Linked DNA regions of Alligator mississippiensis. The protein of the gene in region 1 interacts with the protein of each later gene in a biochemical or structural test. Links are inferred from orthologs where the notes say so. Each region holds a gene or a part of one and is shown on either strand. Other genes may lie near its edges.

The links.
Region 2: the proteins of PTEN (region 1) and NHERF2 form a complex in vitro, tested with the Homo sapiens proteins (2 studies listed by BioGRID and IntAct, with this or other methods). The link is inferred for Alligator mississippiensis from reciprocal best matches to the Homo sapiens genes PTEN and NHERF2.

Annotation. Positions count from the first base shown.
Region 1 is NC_081829.1:65,952,776-65,960,726, reverse strand, and holds the start of PTEN (phosphatidylinositol 3,4,5-trisphosphate 3-phosphatase and dual-specificity protein phosphatase PTEN), read right to left. Parts: upstream 3,044-7,951; 5' UTR 2,562-3,043; coding exon 2,483-2,561; intron 1-2,482. UniProt on the Homo sapiens protein: Dual-specificity protein phosphatase, dephosphorylating tyrosine-, serine- and threonine-phosphorylated proteins.
Region 2 is NC_081836.1:57,476,797-57,484,756, reverse strand, and holds the start of NHERF2 (Na(+)/H(+) exchange regulatory cofactor NHE-RF2), read right to left. Parts: upstream 3,065-7,960; 5' UTR 3,048-3,064; coding exon 2,604-3,047; intron 1-2,603.

The DNA of each region.
Region 1 (7,951 bases):
AGATGGGGGAGGATGGGAATGACAGGGAACTTAATTTAGAATTTAGTGCACAAGTAACACACGAAAAGAGTGGTTAAGCTACCTAAAAAGAGCACAATTTAATACCTTCCAGATGTTAGATAATGAGTAGTTATCCCATTAAAAACTGTAAAGGGCTTCCTTCTTTAGGTTTTACAGAATAAAGAAAAACCCCTCAATTTTCTTGGTTTAATTTTCTAGTACATCCAATTACATTTTGCTATTTGGCACATACAGCATTCTTCCTTCATAAAGTAACTGCTCAGAATCTGCAATAACATACATACAAGGAAAATGACGTTTAATATTGAAAACCAACTCCTCAGCAAAGCATTTTTAAAAATACTTTGCAAAGTAGTTTTTAAAAAGTACAAGTCTACTGTACTTAATTCATTACAAGTACAGTAACTAAATAAAGTTTAATTGAAATCATTTTACAATTTAAACCCCAAAAACAGATTTATGGTTTTTTCTGGGTGAGCACACAAATTCTGTAACAATGCTGAAGATGCCATTCAAATGCTGAGCTAAGTAAGAGGCAAAATCATTAATAGCCCACAATTTCCTTGCCAAGAAACAAAAAATAAGTATACCTAGATTCATAGATAAATAAATGCAAGTTCTGTTTTGTCAGATACTCTCATTACACCTTTGAAAAAGACTTTTTAAGGACAAATTTTAAAAGTGAGATGCATAAAATTTGGTTTCTTTTCTTGCTCCTAGTTTTTTTTCCTCCCTACTCTCTTCCCACCCTTAACTTTCAAAATTACAGAATTAGGCTATAAGGCATATTATTACATGGATGTTTATGCTATATTGTTTGAGCAGATATTATTACTGCAGATGTTCTACTAACCTATAGCATGATGATGCAGTCTTCTACTACTATTCAAGTTATGTCATCAAAATATAGATTTTGAAGAATTTAAAACAGCTCTAAAATGACAATAAAGCATTATTTGGTCAATATGTTCATAGAATAAAATAAAAATCAGGAAGGTACATCCTTAAGGGTCATCTGCCAATGCCAATACACTTATCTGTTAAGTATTCAACATTTTAGACTGAGTCCTAAATCAACGTAACATTACAAATTCAATCTTTCAGTTAGCTATCTGTATATCCAAGAACTCAAGCGCATTTGTAGTTGCAACTGTGACTTAATTCTCTCATGTTCCGAGAAAACGGTAAGCAGCTTGTCCTTGTTGTGAGGCAGAACATATTCTCATTCAGCACTACTAGCTAAACTTCTGGTCCTTAACCTAATTTTCAATGTTTACAATTCTAATCCTTGCATTAAGGATGTTTTATTTTAAAGAACAGATAAAAGTGAAAAGTGGGTTCAACCTATAGCATCTGCAACCACCTCCACTTCTGATGGAAAAATGACAGATCCTTTCACGATGTTGGCAGCCTAACATCTGTCTGATGCTTTCATAATGCATCCCTTTAACAGGCCAAAAGAACTATATGGTTCTAGCGCTTTATGGTTTCACTGGTTAGTCCCAATGGCATACCAATATTGCAAAAAACTCTTCTTCACAGTTTCATATATCCAAAACAATGCTTCAGTTAACAAGAACCTAATTATTCTCATTTGCAAAAAAGACAGGGGCCTCATACCTACAGGAACGATCAGTATGAAGTAAAGTTCAATGGCTACAGAATGTTAGCTTTCACTGAAGTTTGTTTTTAAATTAAAAGGATAAATGTATTTGCTTATTTTCTTGTATTTGGACACAAGCATCTATGATCTTTAGTTAAACCTCAGGTTTAACTAATAGAAATGTGATCAAAGGGATCCATTTGCTATCCATTTACACACACAAACTAACACTAAGTAAGGCTATGCATCTGCTAAAGGTATTTCTGATTCAAGAAGCTAAGATACCAAATTAAGACAGTACACAGCTCAGTTAAAAAAAAAAAAATCAACCCCCTTCTATCTGAACTAAACCCAACCAACAAGTTAAGGAGAGGCAGAAGATTACTTTGAGCATGGGCACCGAAGTCATTATCTGGGAGTGTCAGTGAGGCATGACACCAAAATAAGGTAAGTGCCAGTGCAGGCCAGGCAAGAAGACTCCAATTCCAAATGAGCGCTAATGTTAATCTTTTGCAATCGCCATTACTGCACATAAGCCCCGTTAACCTGCCTGACATGACTGTCAGGGATCAAAGGACTTCTCAGCCCGTTTTCTCCCGCACGGGACCAGCAGCGCGGCAGGCCCAGACCCCCCTGCTCAGTCCCACAGGAGCCCGTGCTCCCCACACCGCACCGCACCCCCACCACAAAGACCAAGCGCGGTCCCGGGCGCAGAGGCCCCGGCAGGCGAGGAGGGGCAGGCTTGGCCGGGCCGGCTCCGTGTCAGCGCGAGGCCCCGGCGGGAAGGGCCGCGGAGTCGGCACTCCAGCGCGCTCGGGCCCGGGCAGCGCCGGGGGGCAGGAGCCCGCTGCAGGATACAGGTCAGGTCCAAGTCGAAGCCATCCTCCTGGTATCGCCTTTTGTTCCTGCTGACGATCTCTTTGATGATGGCGGTCATGTCTGGGAGCCGGGGGCCGCCGAGGAGCCGCGCGGGCAGGCAGGGCAGCGGCGGCGGCGGCAGGGCGCACAGGGCTCGGGGCTGGGCCGAGGCGGCTCCCCCGAACCTCGGGGCGGCGGCGGCCGCGGGGCTCTGGACGGCGGAGCGGGGGGGCGGCCCGCGCGGCTCAGCCCGAGGCCCGCAGGCGGCCGGGCCCCGGGGCAGCGGCGGGCCCCCCTCCCCCTGCTGCTGCTGCTGCGGCTCCCGGCGGCGGCGGCTGCTGCCCCCTCCCCGCGCGGCCCCGGGCGGAGCGGGAGCGGGGGCCGGGCCCGGGGCGGCGGCGGCGGCCGCGGAGGGGTTCAGCGTGCGGCCGAGTCCCGGGCTGCGCCGCCGCCGCCGCCGTCTTTGAGGCGAGTGAGGCGGAGGCGGGGAGAGGCGCCCTCCAGCGCTCCGCGCCCCAGAAATGGTGACAGCGGCCGGGCCCCGCTCCCGCCCGGGGCGGCGGCGGCCCCGCGCTCAGGGCCGCGCACCGGCGGGCGGGGGGCGGGCGACAGGCGACCGAGCCCCGCGCGGGGTCGGTGGGAGACGCAAAGCAGCGCGCTCAAGACCTGGGCTGCGCGCGGGGCCCCAGCCGGGCCCGTCTCATGGTTGCGGCCTCCCCGCGCGCGGCAGCTCCGAGCGCCTCAAGCCTCCATCATGGCTGCTGCGCCGCGGAGGGACCGGCCGCCGAACAGCTTCGCTCCACTGGCACCGCCCCCGCCCCCTCCGCCGCAAAGTAGTCCCGCCACATCATCGCTCCGCGGCCGCCCGCCCCCACGACGCGCCGCCCCCCCTGCCCCGCTGCTCGCTGCGGGCCCCTACGCCGTGGGGCTGGGGCGCTGCGGGGCAAGGATAGAGAGTTCTCCTGAGGGGAGTGTTGGGGGTCACAGGAGCAGGCCGCAGGCCGGCGGAGGGATACTCTCGCTGCCAACTCGGAACTACTTTCTCGGGTCACGTGGTCCCCCCTGCCCGCTGCGGGCCCCCTCCCCCGACTGGGGGGGAGCTCGGCCCTGGCCCGGGGCCGCAGGAGGTGGCTCGCGGGGCGGTGCGGGTTGTGGCGCGCGCCCCGTGCAGGGGGAGTTGTGAGGGAGGCAGCGGGATCCGCCGGCCCGCTGGTCCCGGGGCTGAGGAGGCCGCTTGGGGCAACTTCTTGGGGAAGCTCTTCGGCGCGGGGGCGCCGGTGGCCACAGGCAGCAGCACCCGGAATTGCTCCCCGTGGCTTCCCCCAGCGAAACACAAGTGCCTCTGCCCAGCCCTACGCGCCTCGGTGCGGCTTTTCGGGCTCCAGGAGGAGGCTTGGATGTGGCAGAAGCGGCAGCTGGGCTGTGGGACAACAAGGGCCCACTCCTGCCTCATCTGCAGCCAGGAGGAAGGTGAACTCCTGCCTCCCCGCCGGTCAGAGCCGAAGAGCCAGGCTGCCTCCGGGCCCCGCTGCACCTCGGTGAAAATGTGGAATGAAATTTCTGAAAGCTGCTGCCAAGCGGGAGAACTGTCCTCCCGCGGGCGAGCCGCCTGCGACGCGGGTTGTGGCGCCACCTGTTGCCTGTGATCAAGAAACCCCCTCGGTCAGAGAGTAGCTGCAGTCACTGAAAAAAAATTCAGGGTTACCAGCGTACTCTGTTCCTGTACCTTTGGTCACACAAGGCCTACATCCAATGCTAACAACACCAGCCCAACGCCCAAGGGCCTGATTATTTCAAGCACTGGGAAGAATACAAGGGCAAGCCTCCATCAGCAGGAGAGCAGCATAACCATGATGGGGGTGCCCCCCCCATGCAGTAAAATGCAGAAGTGAAGTGTGACTTCCCAAATGCATGATAATCCCTAAGTAGAAGAGGGAAGGCATACAAATTGAATGGAAGGATTAGGTGGCCAACACGACAGTGAAAGATTTGAAATGGAGTTTTTATTCCTCTTTCAGGTTAGTGGGGGCAATGAGAGATTTTCTCAGTCATAAATGTCTGCTGATGTCATCGAATGGTAACAAGGGAACACTATACAGAAATGAACAAATGTAGCAAGTGAGCATGAGATTACATCATCAGAATAATCTATCTGCCCTGATGGAGAGAGAATTGTCTGTTTTTCTTTAATGTTTTGACAATATTTGTATCTATTGTCATTCCAATAAAATAATCTGGATTTTCTGAAGTCACATCTACTGTGTGGATAGAGCCTGCTCCCCCTACTAAGCACCTGCTGCGTGGTCCCAAGGGAGTCCCCCACAAATAAAAGCAAATGAATCATGGAGCAGTACCATAGAAAGTTTTGTAACCCAACAGGCAAAACAGAAAGTAGGACTAAAGTCTTACTGCTAGCCTAAAATAAACATAGCTACAGTACAGCTATATGTATCTCCCACAATGCAGTTCTACTTTTGTGACTGCCATTTACCCAGCTACCTATTTCTCTCTCTCCACTCCCTACTCAACACACTTCTTGTACTTCTCTCATTCTGGTATCATTCCCACCACACTCCTAAATAAGAAGCCTTTGAAAAGAAACCTGCTTTACAGGTTATGCATTGAGTTCTCAGTTCTGCTAGATGCATCAATATTGAACATGGAAGGAGGAAGGATGGAATTACCTATCCTGATAAATGTCTCTGTCTTCTGCTTTCCCTCTGAAGCCAAATGTTCTTCACTTGTTTTGGAAAATTGCCTCTCTGCTTTTCTTGAAAAATACCGTATCAAAATTTCTTCTTCTGTTCTGAAGCTTCCAGCATAAGGGGAGATACAATTCACCAAGCTCAAGAGTTGTGAAGCAGAGATTCTCTCATCATCTTACAAATATCAAGACATGATTTTTGAGTAGAAAAGCCCACTGATTTCAGTTATCAGGTGTTCTTTGTTTTTTGAGTATAGCAGTGAAATATTAGCTTGTGTTAAAATTTCCTAACTCTGAAACAAAGTACGTTTTTCAGGATATTCTATGGATATGCTTGAAAACAGCACCCCCTTAAACATTGTAATTACTTCTTAAAATATGTCATTTCACAGGTTTCTCATGCATGGAAAACAATCAGCTTGAGACATTCCTCAAATAAAAGTGGGGACATACTCCCTCTCTTGAAAAAGCCCCCCAAAAAACAAACAAACCAACAAATATCTCCTCAAATCTATGACACAAACACAAAGAGTAAAGAGTCCATGAGGACTCCACTGAACCTGAAAAACAAAATCAGATGAAGACCTTCCTGAAAGGATGAAACCAATGGGAAAGGAAGACCCAGGTCTGGGGCATCAGCACATATGAAAAATAGGTAACCTAATCCTTTAGGATACAACTTTGATTTCTTTCTTTCTTTCTCTTCTTGAGAAACAACACTGCATACATTCATGTTTACAATACTGGAGTGTAACCAGAAGATTTGACTTTAGACACTGATCCATATTTTTTGTTAACATATATTTGTACAAAAGCTAGTCTTTAGCTTATAGCATAAAAATCAACAAATTACCCAGTTTTTTTTATTTTGCATGATATAAAATGGAAATATCCTTAGCTTGGAACTGACATCTATTGGCTTATGAAAAATACTAACCTTTCCCTTTATTTGCCCTGAAATATTTTTCATCTACAGATTTTTTTTAAAGTTGGTGCCAAAGTAGTCAAATAATTATGTTGATTATTTTTGAAGTGTGCTTCCTAGTGTTTTATTTTTAATCGCATAAAACACTTAATTTTGTTCAGTGGAAGGGAATACAGGACCAGGGAAAAACATTTTCCTGAAACATGGCTAATTCAAATACTCTTTTAAGAAAGAATAAACTAGTAATGAAACACTCAGTATTACAGATAATTTTTTGAAATGTGTGTAGACAATGAATGGCGTGTGAGCTTTTTAAAAAAGGAATAGGAAAAATATGGTTAAGAGGACTATAGCTCTTTTAACATTGAAGTTTGAAGGAGCTGTGAACAAATAATAGCCTTATGTAAATCAATATACATATTTTAGATTACATTTCTGGTAAAATATATTTTTATTCTGTAAAAAAATATAAAAATTGTACAGAAAATATGAAGTGATAATGTAATAGCTCTGAATGAACTATAGCTATATTGAACTAGCTATTTACAGGGTTTTTTTTAGGTAGGTAGTATTCACCTTGCAGATGCAACCAAATTAAACTGAAAGGTCCAGTACCTACTTTGGTTCTCCCATTTTTTTTAAGAACTTGTACACATTTCAGTGCATGGATTTGGTGGTAGAATCCGTGAGTCATCTTAATCTGATTTATTAAACTGGGTAGCTCATGTACATCAATAAATCCAAATCCTATTATGGTCAGTGGAATGAATTCCAAGACAAATCCTGTGTCAAATTCTTGAGCTAAATAATAAGGTTAAAGCAGGGCAGACATACTGGAGAAGGTAGGGAGAACGACACTCTTATGAATCATGGAGCAGCAGTACAAAAACCCTTTGTAACCCAATAGCCAAAGGAGTATCTGCATGTCTTAAGATGGGCTCATCTTAAGTGTAAAGAGGATGGGAGGACAGTCCAGTCTCTCAGATGTACAAGGGATGCTTTTAATAATGTTAAAAAATAAAAGCATGATTTTTGTTATATACAACCTGTCTCTTCATAGCCTAATGAAATACAATTCTAAGTCAGCAGGTGTTTTAGTCATTAGAACAACCCTCCCTTTCCAGTGTATGAGAAAATACAGGTAGTGACAAAGTGGAGTTATGCAGCTCTATCTTGGAGAGGCTAGTTTAATACACTGATAAAATAAAACAAAACCCATGCAACAACAGAACTGTTGAAGATAACAGTTACAGACAACAGCAGGTAAGCTGCTAAATGGGGGAGTGTGGGTTAGGAGTGAGAGGCACCAACAGGGCTGAGGTGGCAGGGCTGTGGGTTGGAAATGAGGGGCAAAAGCGTTGGCAGGGACATATCAGGGCTGCTCAGCACCATGAAGCAGGGAGGGAGGGGGCAGGTGCAGCTGGACCCATGCCCTGGTGAGCAAAGGGGGTAGGGGGGAGCTCTGGTATTCTATGATAAAAAAACCCAAATCAAATGACAAAATATATAGGTATTTAGAATTTATTTTATTATACTTCTGAGGCACTGGTAGGCTTCCAAATTGCTTTAAACTGTAAATATATCAATAAAACATTGTGTTCAATAGATACCTATACACACACATTTTATCGAACCTAGCAATTTTATCTCAAATTGTTAAATAAAATTGTGAGCAAAAGCGAAAAGAAGGGTCTAGGTATTAACTATAGCAAAACAATATGCATGGTAATTACAAAGATCATTCCAGTATGCAACATCAAAGTGGATAAGGAACAGATAAGGCAGTCAATAAATTAAACTACTTGGGAAGCTGGGTAACATCAGATGGTATATGTGCTCA
Region 2 (7,960 bases), on another chromosome or scaffold:
GATCTGAACTGCACTAGATAAGCAGGGAAGAGGTCACCCAGGGTTAAATGGTAGAGGAGTGTTACAACTGCAACCTGCCTTGTCCACGCTAGGACTTTAACCTGGGCTAGCCAATACTGCACATAAAGAAACACACCTTTCCCCCGAAATGTGGACGCAGCCGAAGGAAGACAGAACAGAAGTAACTGCACCAGCTCTGCAACAAAAGCACTTCCATTGCTAAGCAAAGAGAACCAAAGCTGAGCGATTCTCCCACATTAGTAAAGGCCACTTTCTGCCCGTAAATTATGCTTCAGCCCAGCCAATTGTAAAATGGATTTTTCCCCATAGTTATAGCTCTCATCAAGGGTGGTTTAGGCAGCGGCCTTATAGTTGTGCAGCGTTAACCAGCACACATTCATTTTCCTGCCTAGTCACAAATACTGAGGAGGAGGATGCCAAGATAGGAGCGTGGTGCCTTGAACAGACCTTCCACATTTAGCTTTGCAGCTTGTTTGCATTTAGGAGGAAAAAAAAACAAACCAGAAGTCAGGGAAACAAACAAACACCATGAAAATGTCCAAAAACGTCAACTTCCCGAGCTTGCAACAACCGTGAACAGACTAAGGATCTTTGCTACGGGTCATTTCAGTGCTAGAGGTAAAAGGGTTATTAGCTCAAAGGCCACTGTGCTGAAGAGAATGGGAAAACCCGTGGAGTCCAATACCCTGGTATTGCCCTTTATTCCGGCACCCTGGTATCACTTAGGGCAAGGAGCACCAGAAAATATTGGGCATTTTGTCCTCAAGCATAAGGATTGCCAGCCTCATGACGTCATCCTACCTGCTGAGATCCCAAATGCTAACTTTATTTGTCGAAACACTGAATATTTTGAAATCTGCTGGGCTATTTGCAAGGAGAAGGAAACATGGAGAAGATGACAGGCCCCTCGTTTCACTTACGCCACGCAACTAGAAAGCCCACACATTTCAGACACGTTAAATCACCCATCATCACCCCATCAGATTTTCATACGAAGAGCCCTGACACTTCTCCGATGGGAAATGCAGCTCCATATGTAACAGGAGCTCCCTTTTCCTCCCAGCAATTAGAAGAGAGGAAGAGATGGAGCCTGACTCGATTCCAAATCAGAACGAAAGGGCTCGTGTTCACTTTTGCAGAGGGTGCTCGGCTCGCCTGGGTCTGTTTTACTAATGAACAAACAATAAGAGCCAAATCCAGTGTGGGTGTCAGCAAGCTCAACTCCATATTGCAGCACTACCGAGACCACAAACTGCTCCAACGCCCTGCACCGGTTTTCAACCTTATACTCAGGGCCCCTTGCTGGACTCTGGGCACTCCTGGCCCTCCGAAAATGCCAGCTCTTAGCTTTCACTTGTTTCTTGACCACCAAAAAAAAGTTGCAAAAAAAAAAAAAAAAGCCCACACCAGGGCAGGACGTTTTTGATATTACTTAAAATCTCTGGGTTTACCTTGTGAATCATGCATAGCTGTCTGCACCCCTAATATTGCACCACGCTGTGTGCCACCCTTAAAAGGACCTCACAGCTGGCACCCTGGCTGGAGAGATCACTGCGCCAATGAGTTGATCATCAAGCACCCATGCCTCTAGGACCCACTAGCAGCAATTCATCACCGAAGCCCACTATCCCAGTCATCCCGGGCGGTCCCTGAAGCATGCAGGAGACAGACCAATACCTGACAAATGCAGCACGCTTCCAGGGGGTCCCTGCCATATACTTTAAGCTACGAATATATTCAAGCCCCTACTGCCCTAAACAGATAGCCACACAGAACTGCTCAGCACCGAGCCAGCAAGAGATCTCGTCCCCACCGTTATGTGTCCAGTTCAATCTGCAATCAACAGAAATCCCCATTTTACCCTAGTAACAAGCGCCGAACATTTGCCTCGGGGGCGGTACATTTTTTCCAACTATTTGAGCTGATCTAATAAAAGAGCTCGGACTGACCCAAAGAACCTCATCTGAACATTTGCCTAGCCTTTCCCCAGCCCCCTGCAAAGGTCAGGGGTTTGCCCCGCTAGGCAGGGAGCCCCACGGTCGCAAAAACAGAGCCAGAAACCACCCTGTCTCCTCATCCTAACCCTCCTGCTGAGGCTCCCTGCACCTCTTCCTTGATGCCCTCCCCACCAAGTCCCGGGACTTGCTGGCCGGCTCCTCCTGGCCGTAGCCCAGCCAGGCATCAATGTGAGCTGGTTCGGAGGACCCCAGGACTGTGGTGCAATTCTCCGGACCTCCTGTCCAGCTCCTCCTAGCCCTAACCCAGCGGGGCATCTATGTGAGCAGGAAGGGGGCTGGTTCGGAGGACCCCAGGACTGTGGTGCAATTCTCCGGACCTCCTGTCCAGCTCTTCCTGGCCCTAGCCCAGCGGGGCATCTACGTGAGCGGGCAGGGGGCTGGCTGGGAGGACCCCAGGGTTTTAGGGCAGTTGTCTGGACCTCTAGTCCAGCTCCTCCTGGCCCTGGCCCCGCAGGGTATGTCCGTGAGCAGGCAGGGGCGGCTGGGAGGACCCCGGGACGTCGGGGCTGGGTCCGGGTGCTGCCCTGAGACCCGTGCGGGCCGGGGCGGGGGCCGGGGCCGCACCTGGTGATGCGTCTCCTTGTCCACGTTGACGCCGTTGACCTCCACGACGCGGTCCCCGGCCCGCAGCGCCGCCGCCTCGGCCGGGGAGCCGGGCTCCACTTTGCGGATGAACTGGCCGCTCTTGCCCTTCTCGCCGTGCAGGTGGAAGCCGTAGCCCTGCTCGCCCTTCAGCATGTGGCACAGCCGCGGCTTCAGCTGGTCCTTGGCCATGGCTCCGCCGCCCCGACCCCGACCCCGACCCCGATCCCGATCCCGCCTAGGCGCGGGAGGCTGCAGATGGGGCCATGCCACCACCACCACCGCCGCCGCCGCTGCTGCTGCCCGGCTCCGGCTCCGGCTCCGGCTCCGGCTGCAGCGCCGCCTCCTCCCCGCGGCCGCCGGCGCCGAGTGACATTGCAGCGGAGCGGCGCCGGGGGCCGAGCCGGCTTTGCGCCTCCCCCTCATGCGAACGGGAACCTTCCAGAGCTGCGGAGGGGGAGCCGGGCCCCGCACCGCCCCGCACCTGCGGGCTTCACCCCCGGGCCTGGGCGAGCCGCCACGCATTGCATTGCATCCCATCCCCCGCACCTGCGGGCTTCACCCCCGGGCCTGGGCGAGCCGCCACGCATTGCATTGCATTGCATTGCATTGCATTGCATTGCATTGCATTGCATTGCATCCCATTCCCCGCACCTGCGGGCCTCACCCCCGGGCCTGGGCGAGCCGCCACGCATTGCATTGCATCCCATCCCCCGCACCTGCGGGCTTCACCCCCGGGCCTGGGCGAGCCGCCACGCATTGCATTGCATTGCATTGCATCCCATTCCCCGCACCTGCGGGCTTCACCCCCCGGCCTGGGCGAGCCGCCACGCATTGCATTGCATCCCATTCCCCGCACCTGCGGGCTTCACCCCCCGGGCCTGGGCGAGCCGCCACGCATTGCATTGCATTGCATCCCATTCCCCGCACCTGCGGGCTTCACCCCCCGGCCTGGGCGAGCCGCCACGCATTGCATTGCATTGCATTGCATCCCATTCCCCGCACCTGCGGGCTTCACCCCCCGGCCTGGGCGAGCCGCCACGCATTGCATTGCATCCCATTCCCCGCACCTGCGGGCTTCACCCCCCCCGGGCCTGGGCGAGCCGCCACGCATTGCATTGCATTGCATCCCATTCCCCGCACCTGCGGGCTTCACCCCCCGGCCTGGGCGAGCCGCCACGCATTGCATTGCATTGCATTGCATCCCATTCCCCTCACCTGCGGGCTTCACCCCCCGGCCTGGGCGAGCCGCCACGCATTGCATTGCATCCCATTCCCCGCACCTGCGGGCTTCACCCCCCGGGCCTGGGCGAGCCGCCACGCATTGCATTGCATTGCATCCCATTCCCCGCACCTGCGGGCTTCACCCCCCCGGCCTGGGCGAGCCGCCACGCATTGCATTGCATTGCATTGCATTGCATCCCCCTGGCTGGCACCGCGCTGCACCTGGGGGCTGTCCCCGGGGGCAGCAGAGGCGGAGGGTGGGGGCAAGGGGGTGAGCAGGGTATGGGGGTATTAAACAAGAGTGGGCACACGAGGCTCTTTGGGTGAATCCCGTGTCTTCTAGCACATTGTTTCTAAACCCGTGGTACGCATACCCCCACCCTGCCGTTGTCTCCTTTGCCCTCTTTCCCTGTCACTCGTGCCCTCTTTTCCCCATGACAAAAAATTACCCAGTAATAATTTGGCGTTCAGGCCTCCTAGCTTTGGGCAGCATCGCCTCTAGCCCAGGTATACAGACAGTCCTTGACTTGCAACACTTTGGGTTACAATGTTTCCCACTGACAACATTTATAAATGGACACCCTGTTCCATTTTATGACATCCGTTTCGACTTACAACGCTTGATCTGACCCCAGCGAGCAAGGTTGCCGGGTCGACCCGTTCATCCCCCTGGAGACCGTCTGTCCAAACTTCCTTGGACACGTTCTTTAAGAAAGCAGACAGGACTCCAGAAAACCCTGCAGCCGAGACTCCTGAGAAGACTCCAGCCAAGAACCCTTCAAAAAGTCCAGCAAAGTCTCCTCAAAGAAGTCCTTCCAAAGCAATATGATTGCTATTTACAATAGAAATACATTAATGTAGCTATATTACTCATCTATAATTGACCAAGTACAAAATTCTGGGGTATTTTTGGTGAAAATAGGGTATCGGGCCTTGGTTCAGGAACCAATCCCCCATTTATAACATTATTTCCTATGGGGAAATCAGTTCCAAGCTGCAACGTTTCGACTTAAGATGCGGTTTTCAGGAACCAGTTGTGTCGTAAGTCCGAGGACTGCCTGTACTTGAGTTATGCACCCCTGGTGTAAAAGGTTGGCAACCCTATCCAGACCAGATCAGACATCTGTCATATCACAGCCTTATATACACAGCCCTTCTTCCAACATATGGCGCATAGTCTGTAAATATAAAATCCCCTGGAAAATTGAGTGTTGGGGTAGTTATTAAACTTTTCAGAAGTTAGGGGGTACTTGCCCCTTAAAACACTGCTCTACCAGACCAAATCACGTAGTTGGGAAAAAAAATCTTCTTTGCATGCTTTCGGGCACAAACACCGGTCATGAGGCTGAGGAAGGGTCTGCCTGATGAAGGCAGACTAGGTTCTTTAAGTAAATCTGATGTCTTCTATCACAACAAGTAAAAAAATAGTTGGAAAAATTCTTCTTAGCAAGCCTGATGAAGGGTATTTGTGCCTAAAAGCTTGCAAAGAAGAATTTTTCCAACTATTTGAGTTGGTCTGATAGAAGAAATCAGATTTACCCAAAGAACCTTGTCTGCCTTTGTCAGGCAGACGCTTCCTCAGCCTCATGAAGGGTGTTTGTGCCCAAAAGCTTGCAAAGAAGAATTTTTTCCAACTATTTGAGTTGGGCTAATAAAAGATATGGGATTTACCCAAAAGTTGTGCCTGAAAGCTTGCAAAGAAGAATTTTTCCAACTATTTTTGAGTTGGTCTAATAAAAGATACCAACTGCACCCAAAGAACCTTGTCTGTCCGTGTCCTTAGACCAACCTACACACCTGACAAAGGGGGTTTGTGCCTGAAAGAAAGCTTGTGAAGAAGAATTTTTCCAACTGAGTTGCTCTAATAAAAGATACTGGATTTACCCAAAGAACCTGGTCTGCCTGTGTCCTCACACCAGCAGTTCCCAAACTCCGACAGACTGCGCACCGCCGAATGAAAACAACACACCCTTACATACCACCAGCACCTTTTTCATTTCAGCCTTTAAGTACCTCCAGCACATTTCTGTCAGATACAGTAATTATAATACATCTGCTAATGTGTACCACTGACAGGTTGTCTGCGTACCGCTGGGGGCACGGGTACCACAGATTGGGAGCCACTTAGACCAACATGACTACAACCTACACCCCTGAAACAAGAATGGGGGAACGTCTGAGGGGTGGTTGAGGGAAATGGGCTCATTGCATAAGAGAAGACCGAGGAGGATTAAATAGCAGCCTTTAGCTCCCTGCAGGGGGGTTGCAAAGAGGATGGAGCTGGGCTGGTCTCAGTGGGGGCAGATGACAGGACAAGGAGCAATGGGCTCAAGCCGCAGCAAGGGAAGTTGAGGTTGGATATTTCTCACTAGGAGGGTGGTGAAGGCTGCCCAGAGAAGTGGTGGACTCTCCATCCTTGAAGGTGTTTAAGATGCAGATAGACAAAGCCCTGGCAGGGATGATGTAGTTGGGGCTGGTCCTGCTTTGAGCAGGGGGTTGGACTAGATGGGATCTCCTGAGCTCCCTTCCAGCCCTCATTGACTCTGATTCTATAATTCCTGCTGACTTTCATGGCACTTACGGGATGACAGCTGCTTAAGGGCTCCTGCCCAACCACCTCCAGGACGAGGCTCCTGCTCCGTTAAGTCGGAGCTCTGCATTTGCCCTTCATGAGACGCTGCACCGTGGTTGGTGTGTGCGCTGTTTCCACTGAGCTTCGCTCAGGGAAAGCTGCCCTACTTTCAGTGAGTTCCCACACGGCATCCTCAGGCCCTGGGGAGCTGATAGGGGGGTTTCTGTCTCAACAAAATGGTGCTGAGAACAAACTCAAGTCTTGAAAGCAGCCGTAGCCCACTGCTCAGGCTGGAGGTTCCAGATGGCTTTGTATTAAGAGCACTTGCTTCTCAGGGTCTATTTATTTCTCTGTCTCTATGATAGGAGAGTTCCCCAAGCGCTCTTACACTGTTAATGAGCCATAGCCTCCCGCAGACAGGGGACAGGTTCTGCGGTACCCGACGTGGCCTTTGCTGCTCTTCTGGCCCATTTGCAAGCCGCTGGTCGGGACGGTTCATGCCCTGGCTCCGTGCAGCATCCACAAAAAACAGGACTTGGTTTCAGCTCTTAGCTGGAGAACCAGACTCCCGTTCAACTCTGGAGGTCTCCGATTCGGTCCCTCGTGTCTCTACAAGATGGTGCCCGTGTTTTGCTAAAGGGTTGGGTTTCAATCTCGGCTGAGTAAATGCATGACCTTGTTCACCCCGATGACTCCCTGATCCCTTGATTTTCTTAAAAGTGGTCTATTTCCCAAGGGTTAAAAATGACCCCAAATTTCACAGAGGAGGAACGGGATAAGAATTTCACCGAGTGGTAGGGAGGATCAGTCAATCTCCGAGCAGCCGCCATGTCTCGGCATTGCCCATGTGCTGGATATTACAGAGTCTCTGTTTTGGCTTTCCAGCATTTTTCCGCCATCCCCTTACCCGAAAGAGTCCTCTGGAGCTAATGCAAACATGATAGCATGTTTGAGGCCAGCAGTAAAATACACAATAATGTAGTTTGAAACATCCTATTTTAGGGAAAAAATATATATATATATTTTAACTGAAATGGCAGATAATGAAAGCAACTCAGGAGATGTAGGGCTGGACACAATACAACTAGATTAGATATTTGGAAGGTATGTAGGCACGTGCTATCCAAGAGAAAACCACATTATTATTCTAGGTCAAGATGGCCAACACAGATCTCTTCTTCATCTTAATGTTGCGTGGTAGCCCTACAAAGAGATAACGTGACCGTGAATATCATTCAGATCAGTGCGATGGCTGGTGCATAATCACCGTAAGTATTTGATGTTATCAGCTTGAAGTTGTATAAGGTCATCACCTTGAAAAGATGTAAGTGCAGACGACTTCAAATCCCAGGCTTCAGTATCAGCCCATCATTGCTCGGTTTGCTGTGGGTTTGTAGCCAGGATTTTCACCTGCGAAGTGTACTGGATCTCTGGAAGGAGCCAGCTCGCTTTGGACCTTGATACTCCTCTCTGCCTGCAGTTCTGCAGAAGAATCAGTCTCTGCCTCTTTGCATAAACTGTTGAGTGATACAAAAGGAGGCCA